4 linked regions of the Arabidopsis thaliana genome follow. The protein of the gene in region 3 interacts with the protein of the main gene of each other region in a pairwise test. Each region holds a gene or a part of one and is shown on either strand. Other genes may lie near its edges. The genes, in order: AT2G34460, AT5G27970, PRA7 and BTI3.

What was found.
Region 1: the proteins of PRA7 (region 3) and AT2G34460 interact in a two-hybrid assay, tested with the Arabidopsis thaliana proteins (one large-scale study listed by BioGRID).
Region 2: the proteins of PRA7 (region 3) and AT5G27970 interact in a two-hybrid assay, tested with the Arabidopsis thaliana proteins (one large-scale study listed by BioGRID).
Region 4: the proteins of PRA7 (region 3) and BTI3 interact in a two-hybrid assay, tested with the Arabidopsis thaliana proteins (one large-scale study listed by BioGRID).

The regions. Positions count from the first base shown.
Region 1 is NC_003071.7:14,525,801-14,533,140, reverse strand, and holds AT2G34460 (NAD(P)-binding Rossmann-fold superfamily protein), read right to left. Parts: upstream 3,584-7,340; 5' UTR 3,507-3,583; coding exon 3,405-3,506; intron 3,301-3,404; coding exon 3,118-3,300; intron 3,045-3,117; coding exon 2,652-3,044; intron 2,574-2,651; coding exon 2,409-2,573; 3' UTR 2,242-2,408; downstream 1-2,241. Other genes in the region: AT2G34480 (Ribosomal protein L18ae/LX family protein), read left to right, coding at 1-225; UREG (urease accessory protein G), read left to right, coding at 730-782, 874-1,077, 1,283-1,343, 1,434-1,635, 1,746-1,867, 1,960-2,064, 2,158-2,241; AT2G34450 (HMG-box (high mobility group) DNA-binding family protein), read left to right, coding at 3,693-3,754, 4,010-4,168, 4,400-4,460, 4,566-4,610, 4,930-5,010, 5,173-5,223; AGL29 (AGAMOUS-like 29), read right to left, coding at 5,673-6,191.
Region 2 is NC_003076.8:10,000,977-10,009,152, reverse strand, and holds the start of AT5G27970 (ARM repeat superfamily protein), read right to left. Parts: upstream 4,434-8,176; coding exon 4,329-4,433; intron 4,084-4,328; coding exon 3,898-4,083; intron 3,810-3,897; coding exon of another isoform or gene 3,771-3,809; coding exon 3,681-3,770; intron 3,381-3,680; coding exon 3,310-3,380; intron 3,193-3,309; coding exon 3,037-3,192; intron 2,767-3,036; coding exon 2,649-2,766; intron 2,548-2,648; coding exon 2,492-2,547; intron 2,395-2,491; coding exon 2,340-2,394; intron 2,247-2,339; coding exon 2,190-2,246; intron 2,072-2,189; coding exon 1,970-2,071; intron 1,820-1,969; coding exon 1,739-1,819; intron 1,621-1,738; coding exon 1,568-1,620; intron 1,513-1,567; coding exon 1,471-1,512; intron 1,305-1,470; coding exon 1,235-1,304; intron 971-1,234; coding exon 907-970; intron 791-906; coding exon 642-790; intron 544-641; coding exon 416-543; intron 332-415; coding exon 274-331; intron 110-273; coding exon 12-109; intron 1-11.
Region 3 is NC_003070.9:20,585,426-20,592,062, forward strand, and holds PRA7 (PRA1 (Prenylated rab acceptor) family protein), read left to right. Parts: upstream 1-2,971; 5' UTR 2,972-3,024; coding exon 3,025-3,594; 3' UTR 3,595-3,774; downstream 3,775-6,637. Other genes in the region: PLDEPSILON (phospholipase D alpha 4), read right to left, coding at 1-59, 173-558, 642-2,023, 2,112-2,204; AT1G55200 (kinase with adenine nucleotide alpha hydrolases-like domain-containing protein), read right to left, coding at 3,884-3,982, 4,077-4,226, 4,349-4,496, 4,574-4,650, 4,726-4,886, 4,981-5,951, 6,035-6,129, 6,207-6,361 and 1 more.
Region 4 is NC_003076.8:16,631,985-16,639,536, reverse strand, and holds BTI3 (VIRB2-interacting protein 3), read right to left. Parts: upstream 3,509-7,552; 5' UTR 3,308-3,508; coding exon 3,106-3,307; intron 2,889-3,105; coding exon 2,708-2,888; intron 2,629-2,707; coding exon 2,487-2,628; intron 2,403-2,486; coding exon 2,333-2,402; intron 2,244-2,332; coding exon 2,065-2,243; 3' UTR 1,629-2,064; downstream 1-1,628. Other genes in the region: CHX18 (cation/H+ exchanger 18), read left to right, coding at 1-983; AT5G41590 (LURP-one-like protein (DUF567)), read left to right, coding at 5,641-5,922, 6,933-7,316. UniProt on the Arabidopsis thaliana protein: Plays a role in the Agrobacterium-mediated plant transformation via its interaction with VirB2, the major component of the T-pilus.

The sequences.
Region 1 (7,340 bases), on a different chromosome or scaffold from region 3:
GTTGAGCAGATGTACACTGAGATGGCATCCCGTCACCGTGTCAGATTCCCTTGCATTCAGATCATCAAGACAGCCACTGTCCCAGCCAAGCTGTGCAAGAGAGAGAGCACTAAACAGTTCCACAACAGCAAGATCAAGTTCCCATTGGTGTTCCGCAAGGTTAGACCACCAAGCAGGAAGCTGAAGACGACTTACAAGGCCAACAAGCCCAACTTGTTCATGTAAAACGTCTCTGATTGACTCTTTTTTGGGGTGGAATCGATGTTGAAGCTGTGCTCTCTCCCGTTTTGGATTTTATCGGTTATTTTTGTTTTTCAATATGTTAGGCGTACTCATGAATGTGAACTCGACTTTGTCTGGATTTTATGCTTCTTGTTTCCTACTTATGAAAAAACCTTTCCCTTAATTCCTATATTTTGTGCTCTTTATTGTGTTAACAACCATCGCTTCTTTAAAGTGAAAGATTTTAAGTCTTGGACTGTGATACCAACTTGGTGTCAGTTAAAATACGTTTCCTCTACTGTAATTTTGCCTTCAAACACTTAACATATGACAGGGGTATTACAGTCATTTTATGCTCCCGACAGAGAAAGCATCTCCTTTCACTTAGGATAGAAAAATATAGAAAGATTCTTACATTAAAAACTGTGCTTAATGATCCCAGAATCCCAGTAGTAGCTCTACTCAAAGTCAACACAGCTACCGGAAGAAGATTCGAGTCTCTCGGAAATGGCATCACACGACCACCATCATCATCATCACGATCATGAGCATGACCACGAGTTCGTGTTATCATTGATTTTCTCTGTAAAGTTCTGATCTTGATACGATTTATTCCCCTCACTAATCTGTTTCTCTACTTCTTCTGTCAAGTAGGAAATCAGACGGCGGAGAAGGGAAGGCGTCGTGGGTGGGGAAGGACGGGAAGGTGTACCATAGCCACGATGGACTCGCACCTCACTCACACGAACCCATCTACTCTCCTGGCTACTTCAGTCGCCGAGCTCCTCCGCTTCACGACCGTAACTTCTCTGAGAGAGCTTTTACCGTCGGTATTGGCGGTCCCGTTGGCACTGGGTAATCATTTCATGATCAAATTTACTGCTTGATTTTGTAATTTGGTACCGTAACAAATTTTAATCTCTGGGTTAAGGATTAAGCATGAATCTATGATAATGTTCTTGTCTGGGTTCTTTGGAATGCTATTTTAAGATTTGGGTTTCATAAAAGTGTCAAACTTTTTAGTCTAATCACCATTGGATTGTTGTTTTTGTTGACTCAGGAAAACGGCATTGATGCTTGCTCTTTGTAGATTCTTGAGGGACAAATATAGTCTTGCTGCTGTGAGTATTATTATCAGTGGCAAACACAAGATTGTTTTCTCGATCTCACTCATGTGACTAAATAAGATTTTGATATTGTAAACGTTGTAGGTGACAAATGATATATTCACGAAAGAGGATGGTGAGTTTCTGGTGAAGAATGGGGCTCTTCCTGAGGAAAGGATTAGAGCTGTTGAAACAGGTGGATGTCCACACGCTGCTATCCGTGAAGATATCAGTATCAATTTGGGTCCTCTTGAGGAGTTATCTAACTTATTCAAGGCTGATTTGCTTCTTTGTGAATCCGGTGGAGGTGAGGTTTCATTTCTAGCTAGTTCTTGATAGTTAATCTGCACGATATATAGATTTCTGTTTCTCAAGGAACCAATGAGATATGAATAGGCTTAGTGTTGTGTGTTGCAGATAATTTAGCTGCTAATTTCAGTAGAGAACTAGCTGACTATATCATCTACATCATCGATGTATCGGCTGGTGATAAAATACCCCGTAAAGGCGGCCCTGGAATCACTCAAGCTGATCTTCTGGTGCGCTTATGCTGCCTTAACTCTTCACTTACTCCTTTTGATCAAGTCTATAGTAGTGTGAAAGAATCTCTTGTGGATTTTTCCAACTGCAGGTGATAAACAAGACTGACCTTGCAGCAGCTGTTGGGGCTGACTTATCGGTCATGGAAAGGGATTCACTACGCATGCGTGATGGAGGGCCATTTGTCTTTGCTCAGGTTCGCCATCTTCAGAAATATGTTTCATCACTTATATAACCAATGACCTTAGTACTTACAAAAGAGTCTTCTTTGATTACTAAACATTGGCAGGTGAAGCATGGGCTTGGAGTCGAGGAAATCGTGAACCATGTCATGCACTCATGGGAACATGCGACCGGGAAGAAGCGCCAGTGATGATGGGGTTCTTAAGACCCAAAATGGATAAGATATGAAACTGAATGGAACTCTTTCAATACTTATCTTGAACTCAATTTATGCGCAAAAGTCTATGTAATCTGTTTGTTGTACTCAAGACATAAGAGAAATAAAAGGTTTGAGCATGAGACTCATTACATTCTAGTTTATTGTCCTTTAACAGAGGCAAATAGATCTTTGTAGGAACGTTTTGGAGCTTCGGCACGAGCAACTATCTCCACAACCTTGAAAGATGATTCCTCTTGAAGTAAAGCTTCCACTGCAACTTCTGCGACCAGGTCTCTCGATATACTCCCTTCATATAGAGTATCCTACAAAAATCAAAGGTCAGATCTTTATCAGTTTCCAGCACAAAACAGATGAAACAAATATCAAAGGCTGTGTTTTACCTCTGGCTCCATGACAACATTTCCAGTTGGAGGATCGTTTTTAAGACCACCAGGCCTTACTATAGTATAGTTGATGCCAGATTTTTTGATATACTTCTCGGCTTGAAGCTTAGCGACAAGAGTTAGTCCAAAGAGGTTGAGGAAGAGGTAAGCAGGGTTCAGTATCTGTCCCATGGCAGCTCCATTCACCAAGATGGAGCTTACAAGAACAAACTTTTCCACTCCTTGTTTACGGCAAGCATCCACAAGATTCACTGTCCCGAAATTATCGACTTTCCAAGGAGTGAATATATCAAATCCGGGACGAAACCCAGTAGCACAAATCACAGCTTGAGAATCATCACCTATAACTTCAGCTAGCTTATCAGGACCTTCTGTCACGTCTGCTCTAACCTATAGAAGAAATCACAGAGCAGTTGTGAGAAAATGAGAGCGAGAAAACATTGGATTAAGACCAAGAACATACTATCTGAAGAGACGGGTCGTCTTTGAAAGATGTTTTTGCTTTCTCTACATCACGAACACCAGCTTTGACGGCAAAGCCACGGGACAACAACTGCTCCACAATCCTCTTCCCGGTTTGTCCAGTTGCTCCTGCGACAAACACCTTCTTTGTCTTCACTGCATTCTCTGCTTCACCTTTTTCCATCTGAGATACAAACAAGCAAAGTCAATTTCAGAATTGGGGAAATCTAAACACACAATTCAATACAAGATTCTAGAATCAATGGTTTTATTACAGATAAATCTTACTTTGATGGAAGTAAAGGAGCGAAAAGATTTGTTCTTGGTGAAGAAGGAAGACTGAGAGAAGAAGACAGCTGAGGAATGTCTGAGAAGCAAAGATGTTGCCATCGATGTGTAACCTCTCTGCCACAAACGTTAACTTTTGTTAAATTGTAAATTTTTGATCTTTGCCTTTTTTGTTGATTAGATTACGCCACGTGGCAAAGGTCTCCGACAATCTGTTTCAGTACGCAATTACGGAAAAACCCCAAAGAGGCAGCGAACGAAAGTTCGATTCCGAGAAAGTGAGAGAAAATGACGAAGAGAGCTCCCAAGTCAGGGCCTTTGTCTCCGTCGTGCAGCGGAGGCTCTAGTCGGTAAGTTTTGTGTCTGGCTTTGATAGGTTACAGAACAAGTTTGGCTTTTTACACCTGGTTTTGCTTTGATTTCTCTGTTTAGGGTTTAAGGGTTCTGCTTAGTCTCTCTGGTTATTACTGATTAAGTGGTTAGATAGGGAATTGGATATGAAAGTTGTGAACTTTATGCTATCCAATGGCAAATGGGTGAGAAGAAGAGCAAGGAAAGAGGATGTTAGTTAGATTTTTGTTAATTGTGTTGTAAAATCTTGGCAGGAACTTAGAGTTGGCTGTGAAGTCAAGTGAAGGTGCAAGGAGGTCTACAAGACTGAGACTTCAGCCTTTGAGAAAGCCAAAGACAAGCCCCAAGAAGAAACCCGTTAAACTCCAAACGAAGATGCCCAAGAAACCTGCCACTGCTTTCTTCTTTTTCCTGTAGGTACTCTCTCTCATATGATTCCAAATTGTTATCTAAATATTTAAGCTCAGCTGGACTTCCTTAAGTCTTCTCTTAAGTAGAAATTTGTGTGCATTTTGCCATTGGTCTTTAGGATGCGATTATTTATGTTGTTATGTGTTCTGGTTACTTTAGAAAACATACGAAGAAACACTTGTTGTATTCATTTTCCTCTTGCCTCATATTGTCTTATCTTTTTGGCTCCAAAGGGATGATTTCCGGAAGCAATATCAAGAGGAGAATCCAGATGTCAAGTCCATGCGCGAGGTTGTAGAATATTACTTTGTTGGTTTTGTATGTCAAAGTAAAACATGGTGGCTATTATGTTCACTTTGATTCTTTTGCTAAAGTTGTTTTGTTCTTCATTCTGTACAGATTGGGAAGACATGTGGAGAGAAATGGAAAACAATGACTTACGAGGTAACATTTGGGTTTCGCTTTTCTGTCCCAGTTAGTCTATTGTCTCTATCTTCTAAAAGTCTCCTCTATAATGTTATTCAAATCATAGTCAAATGTATGATATCTGACATTGGGATGACTCACAAAAGCAATGAAATAGGTTTCATGTTAGCATATATAGTGGTTGGATAGATATGTTCTAAAATGAGTCAGGTGTTGCCAGTCTTGTTCTTTTTGGCGAACAATATCTCATTTTATTCTTCTTACCTAGATATCTTTGGTTGAGACCTTGACGGAAGTTTCTTACTCCTAGATTGTTTGTTCCTCAACTGTTTTGTAGGAAAAGGTAAAGTATTATGATATAGCTACTGAGAAGAGGGAAGAATTTCACCGAGCAATGACAGAATATACCAAGAGAATGGTACCACCGTTTTCTTCATTTTTCCTTGTTTTTGCTTAATATTTATTCACATCAGTGGGTTCTTCATTTTTCCTTGTTTTTGCTTAATATTTATTCACATCAGTGTCCCACTGATGCGGTGATAAAACATTAGTCTGAGCTTTTCATTTTACTATTTTGCAGGAATCAGGTGCCCACGATGAATCAGAGACCGACTCAGACTATTCTGAATAGATTACTTTTTAGTTTCTACCACATTAGAAACATTGTTCTAAGCCTTCTAGGATGGGTTTGTATATCGGTGATATTTAAGAGTTTCTGTTTCGTTTTTGAGATCATTCTTTCACTGATACTCATGTTTCTGTGGATTGCATTTGGAGATCAATGAATACTAACCAGTTTCTTGAGTGGTTGCCAAAGGGTTTTACTGTTTCTTTTTATTGTCTCGATTCTGTTTGAAACAAAAATTCCAGACTGCAGAGTGACGAAAAAGCTGATCAAGTTTAGCAAGTACACTTGAGATTAATACAGACAAATTTCCAGGTACATTTTCATTTGATGTCAAATAGAAAGTCACACCCCATAGATGACAGAAAATTCTACACCAGCAATAACTTTCATGTGTTGGTAAGTTCTGTAGGCTGATACAAAAAATAGAATGTAACTCTAACAAGTCGGTCTAGCTATTTTCTGGAGAGAAGCATGAGGCAAGACGAAGCCTGCAAGTGATTGACTTGACCTTCAATCCTACCATGGACTGTCTGAAGCCTATCTTTGTATTCATTGAGTTCATCGAGGGTAAGCGTCTCAATGGACTCCTTGAATCTCTCATCCCCAGCAGATTCAAGCTTCTCCTGACTCTTCTCGCCTCGTTCCTTCTCAGCTTCAACCTCTTGGTTGAGCAAATCGAGACGTTCACTCAGCCTCTTCAGTTTAGGCCTGTAATTACCACTTTTTTCTTCATCGCCACTGTCTGAATCATCATATTCTCTCATGAATCGCTCTGCAACAGAATCAAGATTCGGTTTCCCGTAGGAGAAAGGCTTGCCTCCTGGTGAAAAGACAACGATGCCCAACTCAGCGTTGCAGAGCGTGGCTAACTCGCTCGCCTTCTTGAACAAACCAGTCCTCCGTTTTGAAAAGGTAACCTGTCGTGTGTTCATGTCCTGAACCATCTCCATCTTGATCTTTCTCCGACCCATTTGTTTGCTAAAACGGTACGAATAAGAGAGAACCTCTCGTTTTTTTTTGCTGTGAAAGTGAATATGTTGGTGAAGAAGAAGATTTTGGTGTTGTATGTCTCTGTTTTTAGTAATGGAGATGGAGGTAGAGAATTTTCATTGAACCTAACGAGGGTCATATATAGTAATGGAGGTGGAGAATCACAAGGGTGCAGATTTAGCAAGTTTTTAATTGAAAATCTTGAATTGCCTTATATGGGCGTTGAATAGTTTCTAATTGTGTGTATTCAAACATCCATGAATATTTAAATTTTCATTTTTCTTTTTTCTATTGAATAGTTTCTAATTGTGTATTCAAAACATACATGAATCTTTAACAATTCATATTTTTTCCCTTTATTTCTTAAGAACATAGACAAAAGATGGGATTCATTACCTTGTAAAGAATTAAAAATGGTATTCATAATTGGTCTTTCTTTTTTTTTTTTTTTTTATGTAATTCAAAATTTAGAAGTTTATTTTATATTCTGGTCGTTATTCTCCAAAGTGATTTTTTTTTTCTTCTTTGTAGACCTCTCGTTGATTAATAAGTTATCGACCATGTTATGTAGTTCAAAAGTTTTTGCAAATGGTGTCGTTGAATTAAAATAAAAAGTTATGGACCGTTTCAAACGTTTTTGTTTGCGAATGCCCACTGAGGACAGGAGTCCAAAGGTTTGCGAGTCACTCGAATGACTTATGAGTTCAGTCACATTCAACTTAACCATGTTTTTTTAATTAGAAACCTAAAACAAGAGCGTCGACCATAAGACCTACAAATGCTTTCAAGACTCCGAACTACATTATCAAAAATAAAGTCTTTGACAATTTGCATACCAAACACACCCAAATTGCATGAAAAATTCCGTGCAATTAAATTTGAACAAGAGAAAAATTATGACCAAGACTTTGGATTCCTTATCACCAAAACTCTCAACAATGCAACATCAAAATCCGATTGAAGAAGTCACACCAAAAGTGAAAGACAAAAAAGTTAAAAACATATAAGGATGGTTTGAGATATATTTTAGTTATTTTGAAGAACAAAAACAAACTTGTTTGGACTTTGATGTGGTACGATCAAATCATTTGGTATTATCTCTGTTCTTGGAACCAAACTATGTTGTGTGA
Region 2 (8,176 bases), on a different chromosome or scaffold from region 3:
ATTCAAGGTACCTTTTCCTTTCCACATCAGTTGGCAAAACGATAGTAAATTTACAAAGCGATGCAAGAAAAGAGTTCAAGGGTTCTACAGCATGGAGAACGCCACATGCCTGAAAAAATTATTTGAAGGATACCCGTCAATTCTTCTGGATAGGTAGACAACATACGCTTAAGTGGCAATGTAAAAACTGTATAGCAGGGACACATTTGTTCCACACATCGACAATTAGCAGCCACATAACATATGGACACTTCGAATCTGGTTTGCATTTACCTGAGTAAATGCTTGATATCCTTTCAGTATCTCTAATACGATTGCCTCTCCTTGTGACCTTCAAGAACAATTATTTTAAACAAAGTCCTCAGTGTTTGCCTCTTCACAATCAATGTATAGTCTGACAAAAGGGTTGTTATACCTTGATAATATAAGGGAAAATGCGTCAAGTATAGTCAACCACAATGAATCTACCATTGAGATACAGAGAAGTGAGGTTTTCCCAGTATAATCTGATGAAGGAAGATGCTCGTATCTGGGAGATTCAAGCTGATGGTTTGAAGAAATGTAAGTATGAAACACAAGAGACAATCAGGTAAAGAGTAGAAAGAATATGTAATAGCAGAGGAGAACCCTGCATCAATTACCTCCCCAACATCTACTGCTTCATCTGTTAATGTGGCAACTGTAAAAACAACTCCAAGTAAGCCTTCAATTGCCAACGTTATTGCATGAGCTTCACTCGCAACGAGAACAGCAGCACTGGATGCATCATTATCAAGAATCCACTCAATTCCTACAGCAATAGGGAATATATTTAATGACATCTTTCTTAGAATGAAGTAACATTAATCGAATTCTGAGGTCCTTAGAGGTAATGAATAATCATCATAGCATCAAATAATTGGTTACCTTTAGCTTTGCTACTAAACATCCCAGCAACAGCTGCTAGACTTTCCTCACTCGTCTCCTGAAACTACTTCCAAGGAAACCAACTCTAGAATTAAGCTATGTTCCAAGTTTTACTCCTATTATGCGATTTCAATTCTTGAGCTATAATAAACAAGCCACTATACAGTTCCTGAAATTCTTCCATAGAATCTTTTCAGGTACACATAATAAGTAAAACTAAATGCACATCTAAAACCAACTAATAAACAAATCAAAATTAGCGACTACTAGAACTAATGCAAATTGAGACTACAGGAAACATAACGGGCGTCCTGCCCTACACACCCACCTGTATGCTAGAAACAACTCGAGCAAGTGCTTTGACCATGCTCTCCACAACATTCGTGTTTTTGGGGTGCCTTGAAAGACAAAGTTAATATTAGATCACACGAGAGACATAATTAGGGAAAGAAAAAAAGGACGAACAGAGAATTCTATAACACCAGACATAACATTACAATCTTTACCAAAAGTCCATAGTAAAAGTTAGTAGAATCACAAGAAAAACCAATAAGATTTAGAAACTTTTTCAACTGCAGTGTGAAGAAAGAACGAGACGGGAGTTTCCTAAACATGCAACATTGAGTACATCACAAGGACAAAGAGAAGTATTTAGCCTTACATATCAAAGTTCTGGAAAAGAATCCGTAATGTTCTTGCCTCAACACAGAACCCCTATTAATGCACAGACACACAAGATACCTTAGAAATGTGAACTGAAAAGAATTGAGCACAAATTCCTATTCTGTGATACATACATGTGCAAATAGTAATAATGGAATGTAACGATTACCCGCAAAATCTCAAGAACAAGAATGCGATGCCACAATGGCAAATCTAAAAATGTAGCTTTCACGAGCATACTTAGGAACACCTGTGCACAGACAGAAATGGGATGGACGCACATCAGTAAAGAGAACTTGCAGAGATCATAGTCATCCGCAGAACACATTTCATGTGCTTGTTCCTTTGTGGTCAATAGCACAAAGTTTAAAATGAACAAGTAAAGTTTTGCATACTGTACCTCGCATTCTGTGATGAGAGACGAACTATACAGTCTTATAATATGCGCAACCGACCGCAGCACTAACCGGCGAAAATAAGGTTCAACCATTTCTCCCTCGAGCTGAGCAGTAACAAAATCTTATAAGTAAGCGCATTCGATATACTTTAATGCTAATCCAAATTATATTTTAGATCACATGGACGCATACAATACAAAAGGTAATGAGGCATGATTTTACCTCTGAACTGGTCCGAAGCGATGTCATCAGAAGGGAACAGATTTGGTGACGCAAAACCTGATGAATAAATAGGCAAACTTTTACAGTTAGGTCATCACGCTAATGGAAGGATGAAAAACAAGTGCCCACCAGGAAATATCCTAGCATTACCTGTTCGTAGGGAAGTAGTATCTTAAAAACTGATATATAGTTCGACAAAACAAACCTGCCAAGTAAATTGAGAACTCGTGCATTTTAAACATGATTTTTCAACTTTCACTTCAACATATGCAACTAGAGTTTAAAAAGCCTTGCCAACTCACTCAATTAGTTCGAGGGAAAACGTCCTTGGAAGAGAAGTAACATGCAACCAAGCTGCCTGTAAAGCATGAATATAACAATTAATTCGGTGATATCCCTTTAACGATACTTAGCTGGAGAAAAGATACAGCACCAAAATCAATATAGTGTAACACATACAGATCCACCTGCAGCTGAGGCTGTCAGGTCCTCAAGCAACCGCAGACCAAGTTTACCGGTTTCACTCAGGGTGTCTCTTATTGTCAATCGACCACCGATAACATCCTTCTCCAAGGGCCTGCTTTCATAATTCTATTAGTCTATCAAATAAATAATACCAAATGCCAAGGTTCCAATTGACTAAAGCGTAAGTTCAAAAAGGAGAGCCTATGTCTTTCACTTCATCAGGAAAAGCTCAAATCAACCGGCATGTAATCATTTCATCCCCCAGTGTGTATAAAAATAACCATAATTCCACAAAGCTCTAATACTATATTTACCCAGTAAAGACAGTACAAAGTTTAAGATAAAAGAGTACAACAGACAGAATTGATCAGGACTGACGTACCCTGAATTATTGATATTCTGACTCAAATCTCCAGTAACTGATCCAGTCCTTGCTGTTTGACTGCTCGAACCAAATTTAGGCATAGGAAGGGACTCAGCCGAAACCACTTGATCAAAAATCAATGCAACTGCTTGCCTGAAGGTAGCTGCAGCAGTACTAGGAGACCAAAAAAAACAAAACCATAAATTTTATTTTTGACAAAGTAAAACAAAAAAGTAAAAGAAAATAATAATATAGGAGAAATGAGGTAAGGTTTTTATAAAAGCAACGTACTTGTAAACACTAGGAGGACGGTTATTATCAAGAAGCGTGAGACAGATGCTTAGTCCTAGGACCATATTATCCTGGAATTAAGAAAGAAGCTAAAGTTATCAAAGCAACAAGCAAGCAGATCAATGGAGAACTAATGATTTTACATTAGTACAGGACAGTTTGGTTTAGTGGTCTTATTTGATGGGTCACTCCAAAAAAAAAAAAAAATTCCTGACATCTGCATTCTATTGTTATATGCATAAAACTATTTTAAGTTTTGTTTACGTTAAAGACCAGGATCAGGATTGATGTTTTGTTAAATTTCCAACTTCGACTACCAGCAGTTTTGTGTTAGACTTCCATTCTTACTAGATCAAGCTTGGTGTATTCACCTCTGTTTCTGGATGTAGTCGAGACTGAAATATTATTAGAATAGTTTGTAGAGTCTTTAGTTGAATATTTTCTTCTGCCATTTCTGAATGCTGCAAGTAAGGAAACACGGCGTCAGATAGCTGTTTTGCCTTAACTCAAATAAAAAAGAAGAAGACGAAGGATAGCTTTATATTACTATCTAATATAATGCAGAGAGGTACAGAAACCCCAACTTACATCTTTCAATGTATAAAGTATCTCCTTTAGAGATGATGGTTCAACTGCATCATGAGATATAAGCTTCTGCAAGCAGGAAAGTCCTATAACACTAAGCTTTGTATTCCTGACTCCACACGCCATCAGAAATATCCGAAGAATGTCTTCATTGCTTGAAAGATCACTGGCACTCGATGACGACCGAAGCTGAAAAAGCAAGAATGACTCCACATTTAACAATTCAATTCACCAGAAACATTCCAACAAAGATTCCAACAATGTAAATGCTATCCATTCTCCAAGCTCACTGAGTTCAACAATTCAATTTTAGAGTCTAAAGTGGAAAATTATAATGCGAATTAACTAAAACAAACACCAATTTGAATCTCAATGATTACAGTGAATTCAAGCTCGAACAACACACTTGTACATTACTGTGGAGAAATCCTAACCTTTAGGATTGCGTGCTCGGCTCCGTCTTTCACGGCGGGATACCTCCGCCGCGCTTCGGCGGAGAGAGCGCGAAGATCCGCCTCTAAAGCCGCCACCAAAGCCATTTTCGTTACTTGAACCTCTCGAGATTTTCTGGGAGAGAGCAACTCCGATATTAGGGATTTCAAGCTACTTAGATGCTACCGGGAAGATAACTAAATGGAGGAGTTTGGGCATTTGAGATCGGACAAAAAGCTCCGATCGTGACGAACTGAGAAGAAAGCAAGAAATTGAAATCGAAGGTAAGAACTTTCCGATGGCGAAAAAGAAGAGAAGGACTCAGATTTCGAGCTGTGTGTATCTTAGCAGGCGTATCTCACGTGCCTCAAATCTGATATTAATTTTGGGTATTCTTTGGTATAGTTTGGTTCGAGATTTGTGGGTTACGTATTATTGGATTTTATAAATTAGGCACCAAATAAAACTGAATTTTATTTTGGCTCCGTTTCAGTTTAGAATTTTGGATAAAATGACTAAATTTTGCGTTTGCCAATTGTCTTTAAGAATTTGTTGACTTCATAAAAGTCTAACTGTTAACAATGGTTGAGGTGGAAGATAACCGTAAATGTTTGTAGCTAATTCTTTAAACAATGGTTGAGGTGGAAGATAAAGATATTTGGTTGTGGTTTGTACAACTTCTGAAAAAAAGGATTTGAATCTTCAAGATGAGGAAAACATTACAATCATTTCACACAAACAAAAATATGATTCTACTATGGAATCATTATGTAAATATCTAGCTAGATATATGTTATATTTTTTGTTATCATGTGAAAGTCTAGAATAAAAAAAAACAACTTTCTTACATAAAATATTGTTAGTCTCTAAGCTTTTCGATAGATGTGTAGAACAAGAGGGGTCGTGGTACAATATGTTCACCACTCTTCTTCAGCTTTTTACTAATGAAAGTCGTTTTTTACGTAATCCAAATTTATGAAGTCAGCGAACATTTAGAGATTTAATTAACAAACACAAAAATTGGGAAATAATTATACGAAATTGCAAAAGGCGAGGAATTAGTTGGTCTTTTCTTTTGGATTGGGGCTGGATTTCTTTATTAAAAACCTAATTATTTTATAGACTTTTAATATGTTTCAATGATATAAATATATTAAGAAGATTTATTACTTTTTGATGAAATTTTGATTAGTTCAGTTCGATTGAATAAAATCCGGATTCGAATCAAGTTTTTATTTGGTTCGGATAACTCATTAAAGAAACTAGGAGAGAACCCGTGAAGTAGAATTTTTTATTTTATTTTTTGTTACAACCAACATATCTTATATAATAAAATAAGTTTTTCACAAAACATATGTTCTAAAGTTGTGACATATGTCATCTCTTTATTTGACATGTGTTATTTCTCTCCCATTTTATTGGTTCCAAATTTAAAATACACTATGAACGTTTAAAATTAAATATATTTATTTATAATGAACCAAAAAAGAATAATCTAGATACAGAAATATTTTGGGAGATTGACAAACATAGCACGAAAAAAGTCGTCGGATAACTTCCACCGCTAGTCGCAGCGGCCAATAGGGCGGATGAGCCGTGAGACACTCGTCTATGAAACCTCCGTCCTCGAATCAGAGCGAACGATATCATAGCTTCTCAAACCGCCATGAAAGAGCCATAGATGCGTCACATGACGAATAACACACATCACCGTTGTTGGAGAAGGAAGCTTGCTCCCCCTTGATTCACCGTTGAAGTCGTAAACCTCAAGTGAAGATTAAAAAGAAATAAAAAAAAAGAAGAAAAAAAAACTAGATTTAGAAAGTTGCCCGAGAGAGAGAAAAAAAGTGAAGTATTTTTTGTTTATGGAATTTGTCCCCAAAAAACATGTATGTAATGGAATTTGTCCCAAAAAAAAACATGTATGTAATGGAATTTGTCCCAAAAAAAATGTATATAATGGAATACTTCAAATCACGTATAATTTTGTAAATTCGATAACATTCATTTTTAGTTAAACTAATTGGTCTTAACCTTTTTGTTATGTAAATTGTTTTATACTTTCATAAGGTTGCCATGTTTGTTAGTGCCTTGATGTCCTTAATATTATCAAAGAAAAAAGGAACTATCATGATTCATAGTGTTGGGTAGTTATTATATATATACATTGGGAAAAATGTCATTTAAATCATTAGTTTACCATTTTCGTTGGTTTAAAGCATGAACTATGTACTTGGTGATTTAAATCCTCAATTTTATGTTGACTACCAATTTAGTTCCTCGCACCATCATCTTGATGGCACTTCGACCACTCTTCCTCTTCCACGTGGTCCCGTTGATCCCGTCGAACTCGATGAAAGGTTGCTCATCCTAAACTGGAAATCCGGTTTTCAATTACAAAATTAAGAATTCAGCTTTTTAGGGTTCTTAATTTGAATTTGGGGGTTTTGGGATTTTGATTTTTATGAAGACAACGACAATAGGTTGTAATCTGTTTTTTTTTTTTGGTTAAGTTACGACCGAAACATTGTTTCGTCTCGGGTTTACGCACTAAACCGACGAAACCAGGATTCATGGACATTAAGCTCTCGAACTTTCAATTGGTGGGGAAATAAGCATTTAACTTCCGTTTCATGTGTATACAGACAAAGGTCAAAGATCGGGCTTTATCTGGCTAGATACGATCGTTCTCGTGGGAAAATAGAGACCATTTTACGTTTATAATGTATAAACTTCTTATAAAAGAATTGAGATGTGTTTCTTTAAAAAAATAATTCTATTTAGTGTTTAAGATTGTATATTTATATTTTGATTGTTAATTATATGATTTTACCTATAGTATAGCGCCCCATATTATTATCTACCCAAATCCATTAATTCTAAGATTTTATCTGTAATATAAGGTTTCAATGTGAGACTCAATTTCTCACTAAGCCCATTATAGGCCCAACAAAAACCTAACAACAAAACCTAATCATGAAGTGTGTATATACATGTGTATATAACGTCGTCTTCGTCCCTGCAACCTTGCTTCATCACCATTATCGATCATAACATTGAGAAACTAAGGAGAGTTACAACTTCAAGACACTAACATTTAGATCGGAGTCGTCGGTTTGGTTCGTGGATGCAGTTTCTATTGTGTAGAGGTGGCAACGTCAAGTAGATCGCCGCGTAACGTGAGTCGTAGTCATCACCGGTTGTCACCGGCTTGTTGGGTAAGGATCCTAACCTCATGTTGATCTCTTCTCATGATATTATGTGTAGTTCCTTGAGGATTTATGGTTTATCATTCAATCTATTTGAATATTTAGTAAAGAACAGGAAGAAAGATATCAGTCCAAGTAGAGTTATTAGTGAGCGGTTTCCCGTCAGATCTGAAGGAACCAGATCACGCTATTGGTGTTGTTGGATAGATCTCACAGTGAGGAACACACAGCAACAAACGGATCTCTGTTACGAGGTAAACTCTATCCACAATTCGAGTTTAAAGTTGGACAAAAGTCACGGTTTCTGAACCCATAAATAACTAAGTATCAGATTTCAGATTCAACTTGCCATTTTGGAGAACAGATTCCGGTCATATCTGATCAGCTAAGGACAAGACGACAGTGGATACCGATAGAGGAAGTGTTAGGTAAGACACGGAACCCTTCGTCGTCACTAGGAAAGGTATACCCTACCTGCCATGTTGATTGCTTGTTGAGCAGAATCAGTTGTTTTGTCAAAACTACAGAAACCCTAACTTGTCTTTGTGCTGTTTTCTTCTGCTGCAAGTTTCAGATATTGTCTAGGCATCTTCAACTTTTTTCTCCCAGTTTGTGTCCCATTCCGAGTTGCTAAGGTGAGG
Region 3 (6,637 bases):
ACCATCCATTGATCTCTGGTTTATATTGGCTGATCCTATCAAAATGTATGTGTCGTCCACTACAAACATATGACAATCTCTGTAATTTAAATCTTAAGTGAAAGTTTGTGAAAGTTTAACGAATCTTCAATATATTTTCATTTCAGATTGTGAATTGCGGATTGTTTGTTACCTATCATGAGCTTGGAGTGGACATAGACCATGAATCTCCGATTCCTCTGCGCATTCCAGTAATGCGTTTTCTGGTGGGGCGACGAAACTGCTTCAAACTCCCCATCTCTCTTCTCTTCTCTGTTTGCAAGACAGAAGAAGTTTAGATAATCCCTCGGATGCGACTTGTCTCCAACTTCCCATATCGCCTCTCCAATGATCTGATACATCATTGACATCGTCTCTCTCGTCCAATGAAGTATCTCTTCAACCGTTTCACTCTCCGGTGGCCCTTCCGGCCACATCGGTATGACTATATACACAGCAAATCTCTCCCTTGCACGTATCTTAGCAGCAATCTTTAACGCTATTTCGACAGGTATCAAGTTTGTGCATCCGCTGCAGATTCTATCCATCAAAAAAAGAAATACTAAAATAGATCAGAATCTCCCAATGGATATTTAATAGCTTCGTTAAGAGAAATTTCGTACTTATCGTTCTTGCTCTCCCAATGATCACAGCTTCCCATGAAATACTGATTCTCGATGTAGATAAACCTCTCAGCCTTTCGAATTGCTGCGACATAGCCATCGTGTACACTCTTCTCTACCGGCAAACCTCTTGGCATCTCTGTTGCCGATATGTGATCTATCGATCTCAGAACTTGAACATTCCATTTCCTGTTATTTTCCTCAGTAGGTCCGGTTAGGTTTACTAAGTTTCTGATCCCTGAAGTGTTAACCAACACGGAAGGGTTACACTGTTTCGTCCATCGCTGTTCGAAGTTCTTCAGGACATCCCAAGCCGCTCCTCCAACCACGGACACATGGCAATCATGCCATGGCTCTCTTGGTCCGCCTCTACTTAGCTTAGCTCCAGCTACACTTGTCTGGTAAAAATCAGCTTCTGTTCCGAGTGTACGAAACAGTGAATGCTCCTCAGTGTCATATCGACCATCGCAAAGGTCAAACCCGCCAAGGAAGCTCATGATCTCTCGCTCCTTCGTGCTTGAATTTGTCACCCGTGTATCCAGTGTTATTGTCTTTTGGTGGTGTGCAAACGCTGTAGGGAGCTTTTTGTGCAATCTTGGACACAATCTACAAACAACGTTTGTGTTTCTGAAGTAAGCAAGAGCTCTTTCGACGTTTGTTCTCATTACACCTTTGTTCTTGATCATTGGTAAAGACGTCTCGTCGTTCCACAACATTACTCTCACCGCTACACCTTCCTCTGATTTCCGTTTCAGAAGCTCGCCAACCGTTACTCCAACCGCATGTGGAATCTCAGTTTCGTTGTCGCGTACAAGAACAAGATTAGGGTTTAGTGCCCATCCTGCAATGTAAACCAAGTGCCTAGCACTTTCGATCGCTTTGTAAACATCTTCCCATAGATTCCTTGCATTAAAAGGAACATCATCAACCCTTGGATCAAATGTGGCCTTGTGGTGTGCATCTTGATACAGTACGACTCTGCAGTTCGATCTTTGAGGGAAGCTTGCGTTCCTAATACCTTGAAAAGACGCTTCTTCAAGCGCTCTGCACCATCCCGGTTCAAGATAAGCCGGTCTGAACCACATCAAACACTTAAGCTTCAAGTTACGTTTCGTTGACCCATTGTCTGCAATCAGAGGGAAGAACCCGTTGATAACTGCTGAATTAGATGTCAGGATCTGTTCTGCAGAGATTCGGAATCTTCCGAGAACAGAACATCGAGTCTTGAGCGTGATGGTGATAGTCGTGTCAGTAACCGGGTGAGCGCAGAGGATCTGAAAAGTCTGATTCCAAATACGGTCGTATTCTGAGCTTGTTTTAGCAACTTTCTTCTTGTTTATCTTGATGGTCACGTAAGCTGCTTTTGGCTTTGTACATATACACTGTGAACAAAGATAACAAAAGCTCATGAAAATGAACACAATGATAACATCATCAGAGTCACTAATTCAGTATATGATATAGACTTACATTGAAAGGAAATGGAGGAGAAAAAGGTGTTGCATCGAAGATTGTAATCTCTAGTGTTCCATGAAAGTACTTCTTCTGTTCTTCAAGCTCCATCTTCTCTTTATTCAAAATGTATCTTTAAGAGAATGAGAGATAATTTTCTGTGAATTGTCAAGTATGTGTTTGAAGCTGGTCAATTACAGAATGCACAAGGTTATGTCCATCCATATATGTATATGTATTTGTTAATGTTTTTGGTGAAACTTGTAGGATTCTCCATGGACAATCTTAAAGAAAACATTCAACCATATAGATGACAAAATCGAAGGTGAAGTGTCTTTGAATACAAATCAAGCATTCGACTTCGGTTTTTAAAAATAGGAATTTTAAAAAGCAAAGTGTTAGATGGTATTCAAACAAAAGGTTGGGACTAAAATGTGAAAGCATGAAAATATCTGGTGGAGTTTGTAAATATTTGTGGGGATAAGCCACGTGCAGCAACAAAGCGCTGCCAAAGAAACCACTCGGTCGCAGTTTCTTTGGTGAACTAATAATATGAAATTTTTATTCTGCCGGAAAAAAAAATTAATCCTTCTAATGAATAAAATTATGCTGTTTACAAGTAATTAATCAGATTTATGTTTTGAAAATGACAGAGAATATAATATGCTGTACATTTTCCTAAGAATATGTCTCTATGATGCTGACTGTTAAACACATATAATACCAATATTGTTACCATAAATGTACAGTTGCAAAACAAATAAAAAATTATTACAATATAAAGCATTTATGTATTTATTGGGCATGTAACAACTTTTATCCATATGTGACATTTACATTAGCACCATCACCTAATCCATAGGGACACTGAGCAATTTATAAATTATTACAACCAACAAAAAAAAAAGCTTCGTGTCTCTCTTCTCCAAAAATGACGAACTACGGGGCGATTCCGACGTCGTCTCATCCATCACCGGCGATAGATCTCGAATACATCTCACGCGCCAAACACCGTATAAAATCCGGTCTAGCTACGCGCCGCCCATGGAAATCAATGTTCGATTTCGAATCAATGACTCTCCCTCACGGTTTCTTCGACGCGATCTCGAGGATCAAAACGAATCTCGGCTATTTCAGAGCTAATTACGCCATCGGAGTTCTCTTCATCCTCTTCCTAAGCCTTCTATATCACCCAACCTCGTTGATCGTGTTATCAATCTTGGTCGTCTTCTGGATCTTTCTCTATTTCCTCCGTGACGAGCCTCTTGTTGTTTTTGGTTATCAGATTGATGATCGGACGGTTCTTATTGGTTTATCGGTTTTGACGGTTGTGATGCTTTTGTTGACTCACGCTACTTCGAATATTCTGGGATCTTTGTTAACCGCCGCCGTGTTGGTTCTGATTCATGCGGCGGTTAGAAGAAGTGATAATTTGTTTCTTGATGAAGAAGCTGCGGCGGTTACTGAAGCTTCAGGGCTGATGTCATACCCTTCGTCGTAAATCCAAAAATTTGTTTTTTTTTTTTGTATGTTACTGAGTTTGGTGCGATTTGAGAAAACTTGACATGTTCTTCTACTTTGTTCAATTTGTTGACAACAGTACAATTTTTGAGTATGTTTTGTTGGTTAATTACGTTATTACATGATTAGCACTACAAACACTAATCACTTTGGATAAAGCTACTAAAAAACCATAATTGTCAATTAAGAGGACTTTGATTTTACAAAATTCTTCTATTGATCCTACGCACTATACCAAAAGAAAGTGATCAGATTGGCTAGTTGAGCTTTTAGTTATGATCTCTGAGACCTTTCTCAGTGGATAGTCTTCCATTAAACCTCCCTGAGATTTCATTCATTAACATATCTCCTTCCAATAAACGCAACACCTTCAACAACAAGCAAAAGAGCAGACACACTTGAGAGAGTTTTATTGACTTAAAGAAATGAACATGTTTCAAGAATGGTGAATCTTTTCTTTACCTGAGACATGCGAGGACGCAAATGTGGATCTCTACGTATACACAATGAAGCTGTATGAATCATGCAAATGACTTGTGTTTCTGAATATCGCTTTTCGAGCCTCGGATCAACTAATTCCTCAACCGCATACTCTTCTAATAAAGATCTTGCCTGCTCACAAAGAAAATAAAATAACAAAATGAGCTTCAAGAAAGAAACTTTTAGATTTCATTTACAAGAAGAGACTGAAAATGAGCTAAGAAACCTTAAAAAGAAGAAACTTATGGATTTACCCATTCAGTTAAACATTGTTGTCCCTTTGGTCTGTAGATATCCATTGCTTTACGACCCGTGATTAGTTCGATCAATACAACCCCGAACGAGTAAACATCGGCTTTCTCTGTGATTTGTCCACTTTGAGCATACTCTGGAGCTAAATAGCTAAAACAAGAAACACAGAAAGTAGTTGAGAAATTACTCTAGAGTGAGAATGATGATTTAGTTATAAATTTTGTTACCCGAAAGTTCCTATCACACGCGTGTCTACACCTAGCTCTCCATCAGGCTGCCATCTTGCTAAACCAAAATCTCCAACCTGAAAGAGAAACAAAAACAGAATCAAACGAATGTATAAAAAAGTGTAAATTGTGGTTCAAGAAAATATAAATACCAGTGGTTCATAATCATGAGTAATTAGTATATTGTTAGGCCTCATGTCTCGGTGAACAATGCAACCTACTCTACACTCTTCATGAAGATATCGAAGACCTCGAGCCGCTCCAACCGCTATTTTTTGTCTTGCAGGCCATCCCAAAGTGTCCTTATGGCGACCTAAATGGACATTTCATGAAAGTTAGTTAGATAACTCTAGTTAAGTGTTTTTTAGGTTAACAACATCTTTAACTAACTTGGAAACTCTATTTACCGTATAGATGAGAGTCTAATGATCCATTGCATATGTATTCATAGACCAAGAGTCTTCTGGTATCTTCGATGCAGAAACCGATTAACATAACTACGTTTCGATGCTGAGCACAGCTCAAAACTTCTACTTCAGAGCAAAACTCTACATCTCCTTGTGTACTGGCCACTTTGTGTTGCTTTACTGCTACAATCTGGCCTTCAGGTAATACACCTCTATGAACAGATCCAAATCCACCTTCTGCCAAAAAATTAGCTCGCGAAAACCCGTTTGTTGCAAGCTCTAACTCTTTGTAGGAGAAAAACCTCGGTGGTTTTCCAAATACAGGCGCTTTGTGCTGGCATATAGAACAGAGAGGAGGTGAAACAGGAGGAGCATTTCGTGATAACGCTCTTAAGGTTCCACTATACTCCTCCAAGTCTTTCCTTTTACTTGACATAGCTGCTTCTTCTCCTTCATCAAGCTTAGAAATTTTCTCAAGCAAAGCCTTTTTAGTAGATACTTGAACAGCCTTATCATCGCCTCTCGTTGATTCCTGCATCGAGACGCAATGAGTGCTAAGATATTCTGATATCCATGGTTGGAATCTCTTACTTAAGGAAGGTAGTGATAGATTTTCGCTCTCTGAATCAGAATCAGATTCATTCTCTTTGACGACCAAAGTTTCATCCTTTCTCACTTCAGCTGTGAAAACTGGCGATGATGTACCGAGGTCAGAGCTAGATACTGATGAAGTCCAAGCTTCTGTTCCTGTGAATGATGTCTCAACCTCAGGACTGCTCATTGGAGTAGTTGTAACAACCGCTTTAACAGAATCTAACAACCTGTTTTTGTTTTTTTCAGATGCTAATTCTGGTTCCTTTGTTGAAGACCCGACCAAGTTCAACCGCAGGACTTTTGCCTCAGAACGCTTCATCGCCACAATGTTACATTGTAACTCATCTATGCACCGTTTCTCTTCATGCTTAAGGTGCCTGTAAAAGAAATATAATCATTCAACCACACAAAGAGAGTAAAAACTAAAGAACTGAAGAATAAAATCAGATTATTAACTTACTTATCAAGAACTACCCAATTTGCTTGAGATTTCTTGGCCTCAGCCGCAACAGCTCCACATGGTGATCCAGAAACAATCTTGATCCTGACATTAACCTTCAAAGAAACAAGCATGAGAATAACTCTAGATATTTCAGAATATCATTATTTTGATGGTGGACTAATTTTCAAACCTTGTTTGGATCATATACATCATGAAGCTGGAGAATCATTTGGGAACAAGTATCAGTGAGATCACTCTTTATCTCAGACATTGGATCAGAATGCAGTTTCCAATGACCAGTAGCACAATCTCCAGCAAACCTAGGGAAAGTCCATAGCTTTCGGCCTAACAAAAAGACCAAACAAAAGAAAGACAATGAATAAAACAGAGCAAACTAATCTCCATGATTGGATACCAAAGAAGAAGAAAGTACCAGCATTGTAAGAAGTAACAACAACAATCAGAGTAATGCAATCTCCAGGATGAACAATATGAGTCAAGGCCCAAACAAATGCTGTCTTTGAAATCTCCCTAGATGCTTTGACAGCAACAAGAACCTTCTCAGTCCCATTAGAACCTGATCTCTTCCCCTGTTTCTCTCTGCTCATTTAAGAGGACTTT
Region 4 (7,552 bases), on a different chromosome or scaffold from region 3:
GGCTCTGCGTTTACGCTCTCCACTTACGGGAACTATCAGAGAGATCATCAGCTATTCTAATGGTTCATAAAGTTCGGAAAAACGGAATGCCGTTTTGGAACAGAAGAGGAGTAAACGCAGACGCTGATCAAGTAGTAGTTGCTTTCCAAGCTTTTCAACAGCTAAGCAGAGTCAATGTCCGACCAATGACAGCAATCTCTTCAATGTCTGATATTCATGAAGATATCTGCACAACAGCTGTAAGAAAAAAAGCAGCCATTGTGATTCTTCCGTTTCACAAGCATCAACAGCTTGATGGTTCGTTAGAGACTACACGTGGCGATTACCGTTGGGTTAACCGGAGAGTTTTGCTTCAAGCTCCTTGTTCGGTTGGTATATTCGTTGACCGTGGACTCGGAGGTTCAAGTCAAGTCTCAGCTCAAGATGTTTCTTACTCTGTTGTTGTTCTGTTCTTCGGTGGTCCTGATGATCGTGAAGCGTTGGCTTATGGATTACGTATGGCGGAGCATCCCGGAATTGTTTTGACTGTTTTCCGATTTGTGGTATCGCCGGAGAGAGTCGGAGAGATTGTTAATGTTGAAGTGAGTAACAATAACAACGAGAATCAGAGTGTGAAGAATCTGAAATCGGATGAGGAGATTATGTCTGAGATAAGGAAGATATCTTCGGTGGACGAATCGGTTAAGTTCGTGGAGAAACAGATTGAAAACGCCGCCGTGGATGTTAGATCGGCGATTGAGGAAGTGCGGCGGAGCAATTTGTTTTTGGTTGGTAGAATGCCAGGTGGAGAAATTGCATTGGCGATTAGGGAGAATAGTGAATGTCCGGAGCTTGGACCTGTAGGAAGCTTGTTGATTTCGCCGGAATCTTCGACAAAAGCATCGGTTTTGGTGATTCAGCAGTACAACGGCACCGGAATAGCTCCGGATTTGGGTGCGGCTGAGACGGAGGTATTGACTTCTACGGATAAAGACTCTGATTGAATGAATCATTGGTTAAAAACAAGAACGGTTCGGTTCGGGTCAGGGGTTGGTTTACCATAGTTAGTGAAAAGTTGGTTAATGAATACGGTTTAATCAAAATGACTGTACTTGGCTTTCACTGTTTCATCTTTTCTTTCTTTTTTGTCGTCACTGTTCATCTTTAAGTTTTTTTGCTTTTGAAAGTAAATGGTTAAATGATGACAAAAAAAAAAATAATGGTTGTTGTAAAAAAAGTTATCTACTTTAATCGGAAAAATAATAAATTTAAAAATCCAGTCATTGAACATAAAACTAAAAACAGAAATGTCAGAAGTGGGGTTTGAACCCACGCCCTCTTACGAGGACCAGAACTTGAGTCTGGCGCCTTAGACCACTCGGCCATCCTGACTTTTGATATTGTTTTCTACTACAAACTATATATAGTGATTAACACCTAGTTGTCTACCTTACGTATGTTGCTTACTTTAAGTAATTATCCAGATTTGATGGTTATCATACCGAAAGCGTTTGGTATTGTGGAATCCACTTTTTGTGTGATTATTTTTGTCGAGAAATCGTGAAATCGCAATTTTGGCAAAAGAATTATGAACAAATTTTTTTGGAAAATTATCAAATTGCGTTTAACCTAGTTCATATACCAATCATTTTAGCTTTTCCTATGAACAAGATGTTGAGATGATGAAAGAGATGGAATGGGAAGAATATTATTAGTCAAATAAAAACAAGAAAGATTCTTATGAACTAAAGTTAGATCGCAGTAGCAGTGAAGAGCGAAAAACCCACGAAACAATTTGAGTTTATGTGTATGGACCAATCCTCAGACATGATGCAAAATTGACATGACGAATACCATCATGGAGAGCTGTTAAAAGGATGAGAAATTAACTAAGACAAATAACTAACAACAATAATTATCATCCATCCGTGTTCTCTCATAATCTAAATATTTTTAGTTAAAACCCCCAAATTTATAATGAACATAATAATAACAAGAGATCAAAGGGTTTATCAACCAACAGCTTCTAACAAAACATGTCTTGAACCATTACTACGATTCCAATGAGAGAGTAACTCACATTCCTTAATCCTTCTTCTTGTTCAGAGCTCCTCTTGGAATCTTGCTTATGACCTTACGCAATACCTTCTCATCAAGTACTGCATATTGCTTTTTGATCTCCCTCATCGCCTTCTCCCCATAGGCATCTACTTTGTCCTCATACTTCTCGTAGAGTACAGGAATGGTGAAGAGAAGGACAGTAGCTGGAAGCAAGAAAGAAAAGCTGGTTATCAAGATATGCAAGTATGATTCCTATCAGATTAAATGCAGTAAGATGTAAATGAATCGTTACCAGTGTAGAACAATGTCAAGAAGTTGTAGCAGCTGCCAATAATGGACAAAACCCACAAGCCAGCAATTACCTAAAACATGTGCAAGCAAGTATTAGCATTTATGAGGAACATAAGAAAACCGCTTTGCATCGAGGTAGATAACATGAACAATACCAGGATAAATTTCTTGACATCTTTTCCTGATGCAATGTTCCTAAGAAGGGTCAAACCACGATTGATTTCAATCCTTAATCCAGAAACAAGTTGAAGAATAGGATCTTCAGGGATGTGAACTTCCGGGATGTGAGGAGTTGACCTGAGGATAAGAACTCAGTTGATCAGGCAGTTATCTCATACTTAACACTTAACATATAAGGGATGTTGTAAGAACATACTTGTGGATGAATGTACAAGCATTAGACCACAAGAACAATGCTGCAAGAGCAAAAATCGCAAAGTGACAGAGAAAAGCGAGGAGATGGTATTCGAATAACTCGAATAAGACCCAAGACGCAGTTACAGCACCCAAGACTCCACCAGATACCTTCTTGTTCCTCCAAAGGAATATATCAGCAGCTACATGCAAACAATGAATCCAGATTCAACATAGTTTCTGAGTATTTCACAAGATTTAAGCGTACTTTCGAGCAAAGCAGACAATTAAGCACTCAAATACACTCAATTTTAGCTTCAAATTAGAGCAACATTCACTAGATCGAGCAAAATCACTATGTAAGATACAAAATCGAGTAAAATCAGAGTTCAAAGTGAAGAAATAGAGATAGATCCATACGTTTTCCACCACCGAGAACCTTGTGAACAGGTTTCTCCCTTCCGAAAAGTCGGTAAATCTTTGACTTGAAGGACGACGACGAAGACGATGTAGATTTCTTATCGTCGTCGGAATCGGACAGAGAAGACGAGTCACCGTGGCCATGGATCTTCTCAACAATCTTCTCCAAGATCGATTCCTCGTGCTTGTGGTCTTCCACCATTTTTGTTGATTCTACAAACCTCCGAGAAGAAGAAAAAAAAACCTAAAACTCTTTACTGATTGAAGAGTGTGGGAGGAGACTGTGACGAATAAAAGCGTGTGCTTCAGATTTAATCCCACCCCTTGATTTAAAACATTTAATCCAGTCCGTTTGATTCGGGTCTGGGCCTCGAGTAGGTAACCGTCCACGGTGGAAAATCAAACTATTTATTTTGTAGCAGATGTAACATATTTGGCGTGGAACTAACGGTCGTTAATTAATGTGAATATTCCCGATAACGTCTCCGTTAGTGGAACGTTAGATGTCGGCGGATAGGATCCAGCATTGGGCCCATTTATGGGATTGTTGGTACAGTATTAAGGCCCATTTATTACTGATCCATTTCATAGTAAAAATAAAAAATTGTTAGGCATAGTAAAATTGTTATGAGAATATGTTGATAGAATGAAAATGCTCCTAGATGAAAGATGATCATACACCTGTTGATTAAACATTACAAGGTCACAGATTATATATATTGACATCTCAAAAATTAACCAAGACGCTGCGTTTTGGAGATATTGGATTTCGAAGACCCGGAAGATAAGAGGAGAATAGTCAGTGACTCTCACGCACGTGGGGTTTGAATTGATGACTCTGGTCTCTTGGCCTCGAGATCTAACTTCTTCCGTGGGATCCAATTTTGAGCTGAGTCATGACACGTGTTACAACACGTGTGCTCCACTGTGTCGACATCACTCTTGAAGGTAAGATTTTTTGGAGTAATGGCAAACCCAGAGATCAACAAAATCAGGTTTGACAATGAAAGCTCACTTATTTATTTATGTACTTTTCCAATAATTTGATTAGTCCAAATATATTATTCTATTTGGATATTCATTCATATACATAATTACATACACATGCAGTGTTAGAAGTGAGTTTAATATGGAAGATTCGTCGTCTAGTGTGACATGAAATTCCACCATTTCATATAATTAGATTTTCTTCTTATATATATAATTTTATGCATCTAATCGTGTGGATGAGAATTGTCCTTCACCTAACCAACCTTTTCGAAGAAAAAGAGAGATTTGTTTCTTAATATATCTTCAGAAAGAGAGAGAGATTCGATGACAAAAAGGATAAGAGATTCTTGGAGACCTCAAAAATCTACTATCGTGGGTCTAAGAAGATTACGTGGCTCGTTTTAAGACCCTTGCATAATCTTAAAGTTCTTACCTATTTTTTTTTTTTTGTCGTAAAGTTCTTACCTAATACAGTAATATATTTTTATATTGTATAAAATATTATACATTAATTAATCAAAAAAAAATTCCAATTCAATCCTGAAACAGTGAAACCCATGCGTGCCAAAGCCAAAAATCTGACTACCTTGCTAAGTGCTAATCATTACCCAATCAGAGTTCATATCAGGAATATACCATATCCATAAGAGCTATATACTAATTACTTGCAAAAGTTTGCACCAAACCTTACTACGTACAAAAGAAAAGATCGTAGATGGTCAAAATTGTGGCTTACTATAATGGCTTATTATATAGTTATTTTTAGATAGCTAAATTTCTTGTATATACAATTTTGAGTTTTACGTATAGAAAAAAATATCATATTTGAGTTTGGTAAAAAGGATGAGTAAATAATTTGGAGATTTCAACCTTCATGTTAAGTTTTCATTTTCGATTAATTTTATCTAATTTTTTATTTTAATTTCTTTGATAACCAAACAATGTAATTTAGACTAATCCTTTTGGACTTATAAAACAAAAACAATTTACTATATATGCAAGCTGTAATAGGGTGATTTGAGTTCTAGTCCACTAAATGTAAATGTTACGTACGTTAAATTTGTATTTGTAATGTGATAAAAAAAAATCTAATGACCTGTATTCATTAACTTAAAAAAAATTCTAATTAACTTATAGAATGGTATAATATCTTATCATATTGTATTATTTTTCAAATAACACTAAAAATTTTGACTCATAATTAATAAAACGTTTAAAGCTTTTTAGGTGAAATTCTTATTTTTATATTTTGTAGAATAGTACAGTTTTGTCACTAAGTATTATTTGTGGTCGCATTTAAATATCAAGTAGCGATATTTAAAAACTTTGCAAGTTGATATAAAGAAGAAAAAAATTATAATATAATAAGACAATGATATAATATAACAAAGCTAATATCTTTCATCCACACACATATATATTAGATCTATATATATATATCTCATATGTATACCTAACCTTACCATATTTGTATTGAGAATTGAGATTAATTAGATCTGTAAAACTCTCTTAAAATAGTTAACCAAGAACACCAAAACTACAAAAATGTTCCCTTTCTTGAAGCAACGGTCGAGGTCGGTCCACGGTGAAGATGCACCGTCATCTACAGAGTCCACAGTCTCCGTCGCTGCCGCAGATATTGGAGGAGCGTGTACGACACTCACGGTGTGGAGAAAATCGCTTCTGGTGAGTTGTGAAGGATTCACGGTGATAGATTCGAATGGAGATTTGATTTACCGGGTCGATAATTATGCCCGAACCCGACCCGAGGAACTCATCCTCATGGATAAAGATGGAAACTCCCTCCTCCTCATGCATCGTACCAAGGTAAATATATGTACAAAGTATTTAGAATAAACTTATTTGAATATGTTTTAGAATATGGATCATTATATTCATTGTACACATCATCCTTCAAAATTACAATATCACATTTATTTTAGATTATTAAGAATCAAACCTCTACTAAATCTGTCTCACAGTTGTACTTATGAATCTGTTTTGTTAGCGTTGTAGTTGTAAATTAGTTGTGTAGATATTAGTTCTAGGTTGTAGTTATAAAACATCCAAATACTTGATTGATACAAAACAATAAATGGAGCAACAACAAAATGATTTATAAGAGTTGTGAATTTTTGGTGGAATTTACCAAAATGATATAGAAATACTTTAAAAATTGAAAGAAGTTTTCGTCGTCCTTACGGATCACTCTAGCGAAGTATCGGATCGATTTGCTTACAACCATTAGAATTGTGATAGTTTGTAAATAGTACTTAAGGTCGGCGATATGTTGATAATAATGAACAATGAATGTTGAGTATTAATTTCGCTGATAGACATGTTAGCCGATTTTGTAGAAGACGTTTTGTTTTTAGCCGATTGAAGATATGTATGAACGAAGATATTACGAATACTATAGTATATATATTATTAAGATTGAGTAGGACCAACTACACTACCGTGACACCGTCCACAATAGGTCACGTCAAAAGTTCATAAATATTCTGCATGTGGACAATTGTATTGGCAAGAATTTCGTGTAACCCGTTACATTCTTTGGGAATAGATTTACAAAATTTCATTCAGCATAAAAGTTTTGACTATAAAAGTATAATCATAATTTCATAACGACGTCTAGAATCTCCGAGTATTATATGTTTGACTTTTAGTTTCACCAAAATCTAGCTATGCCTAATTTCGTTTAAATTGATCAATTTTGACGTGACTACGTACATATGGATCTAGATATTTTTACTCAATGCAATTTTATAGACAAGTACTAGTTTGAGTTTAAAATGTTGTGTATATTAAAAACGATTTTCCTTTGTATTGTCCAGAAAATTACGCTAGTAGATAGTTGGGGAATCTATGAAGCAAATGATACAAAAGGAGAAACAAAAATACCAAAGTGCCCAACCTGGTACATGAGGAAGAACTTAAAGATGAATATTCTGAGCACCAAATCCGACATTTTGGCATACGTATATTCAGGATCGTTCGATAAGAAGAATTCATACATCATCAAAGGATCGTATAGATGTAAATCGTGTAAAATAGTGCACGTCCCATTGAACAAGACAGTGGTGGAGATCAAAAGGAAAGAGGTCAGAACCAAAGGAGTCCGGTTCGGTTCAGATGTTTTTGATCTGGTTGTTAATCCCGGTTTTGACACCGGTTTGGCAATGGCTTTGGTTTTGTTATTAGATCAAATGTTCTCTTAATTAATTAGAGGTGATCACTGGAGATAATAAACATCCTCTTTTTTGGGCCAATTGTACAGTACTATTTTAAAATATTTCATAAATAATCAAACAGTATAGTATAATATACTTATATACATGATCTTCTTTGTGAGCTTTCTAAATATGCTCATCCTATAAAATGGGAAAACAATGCCCTGGTAAAACCGTAAGTGTAGTAGTTTTTATGATGTTTATTTGAGTAATTTGATTAACTT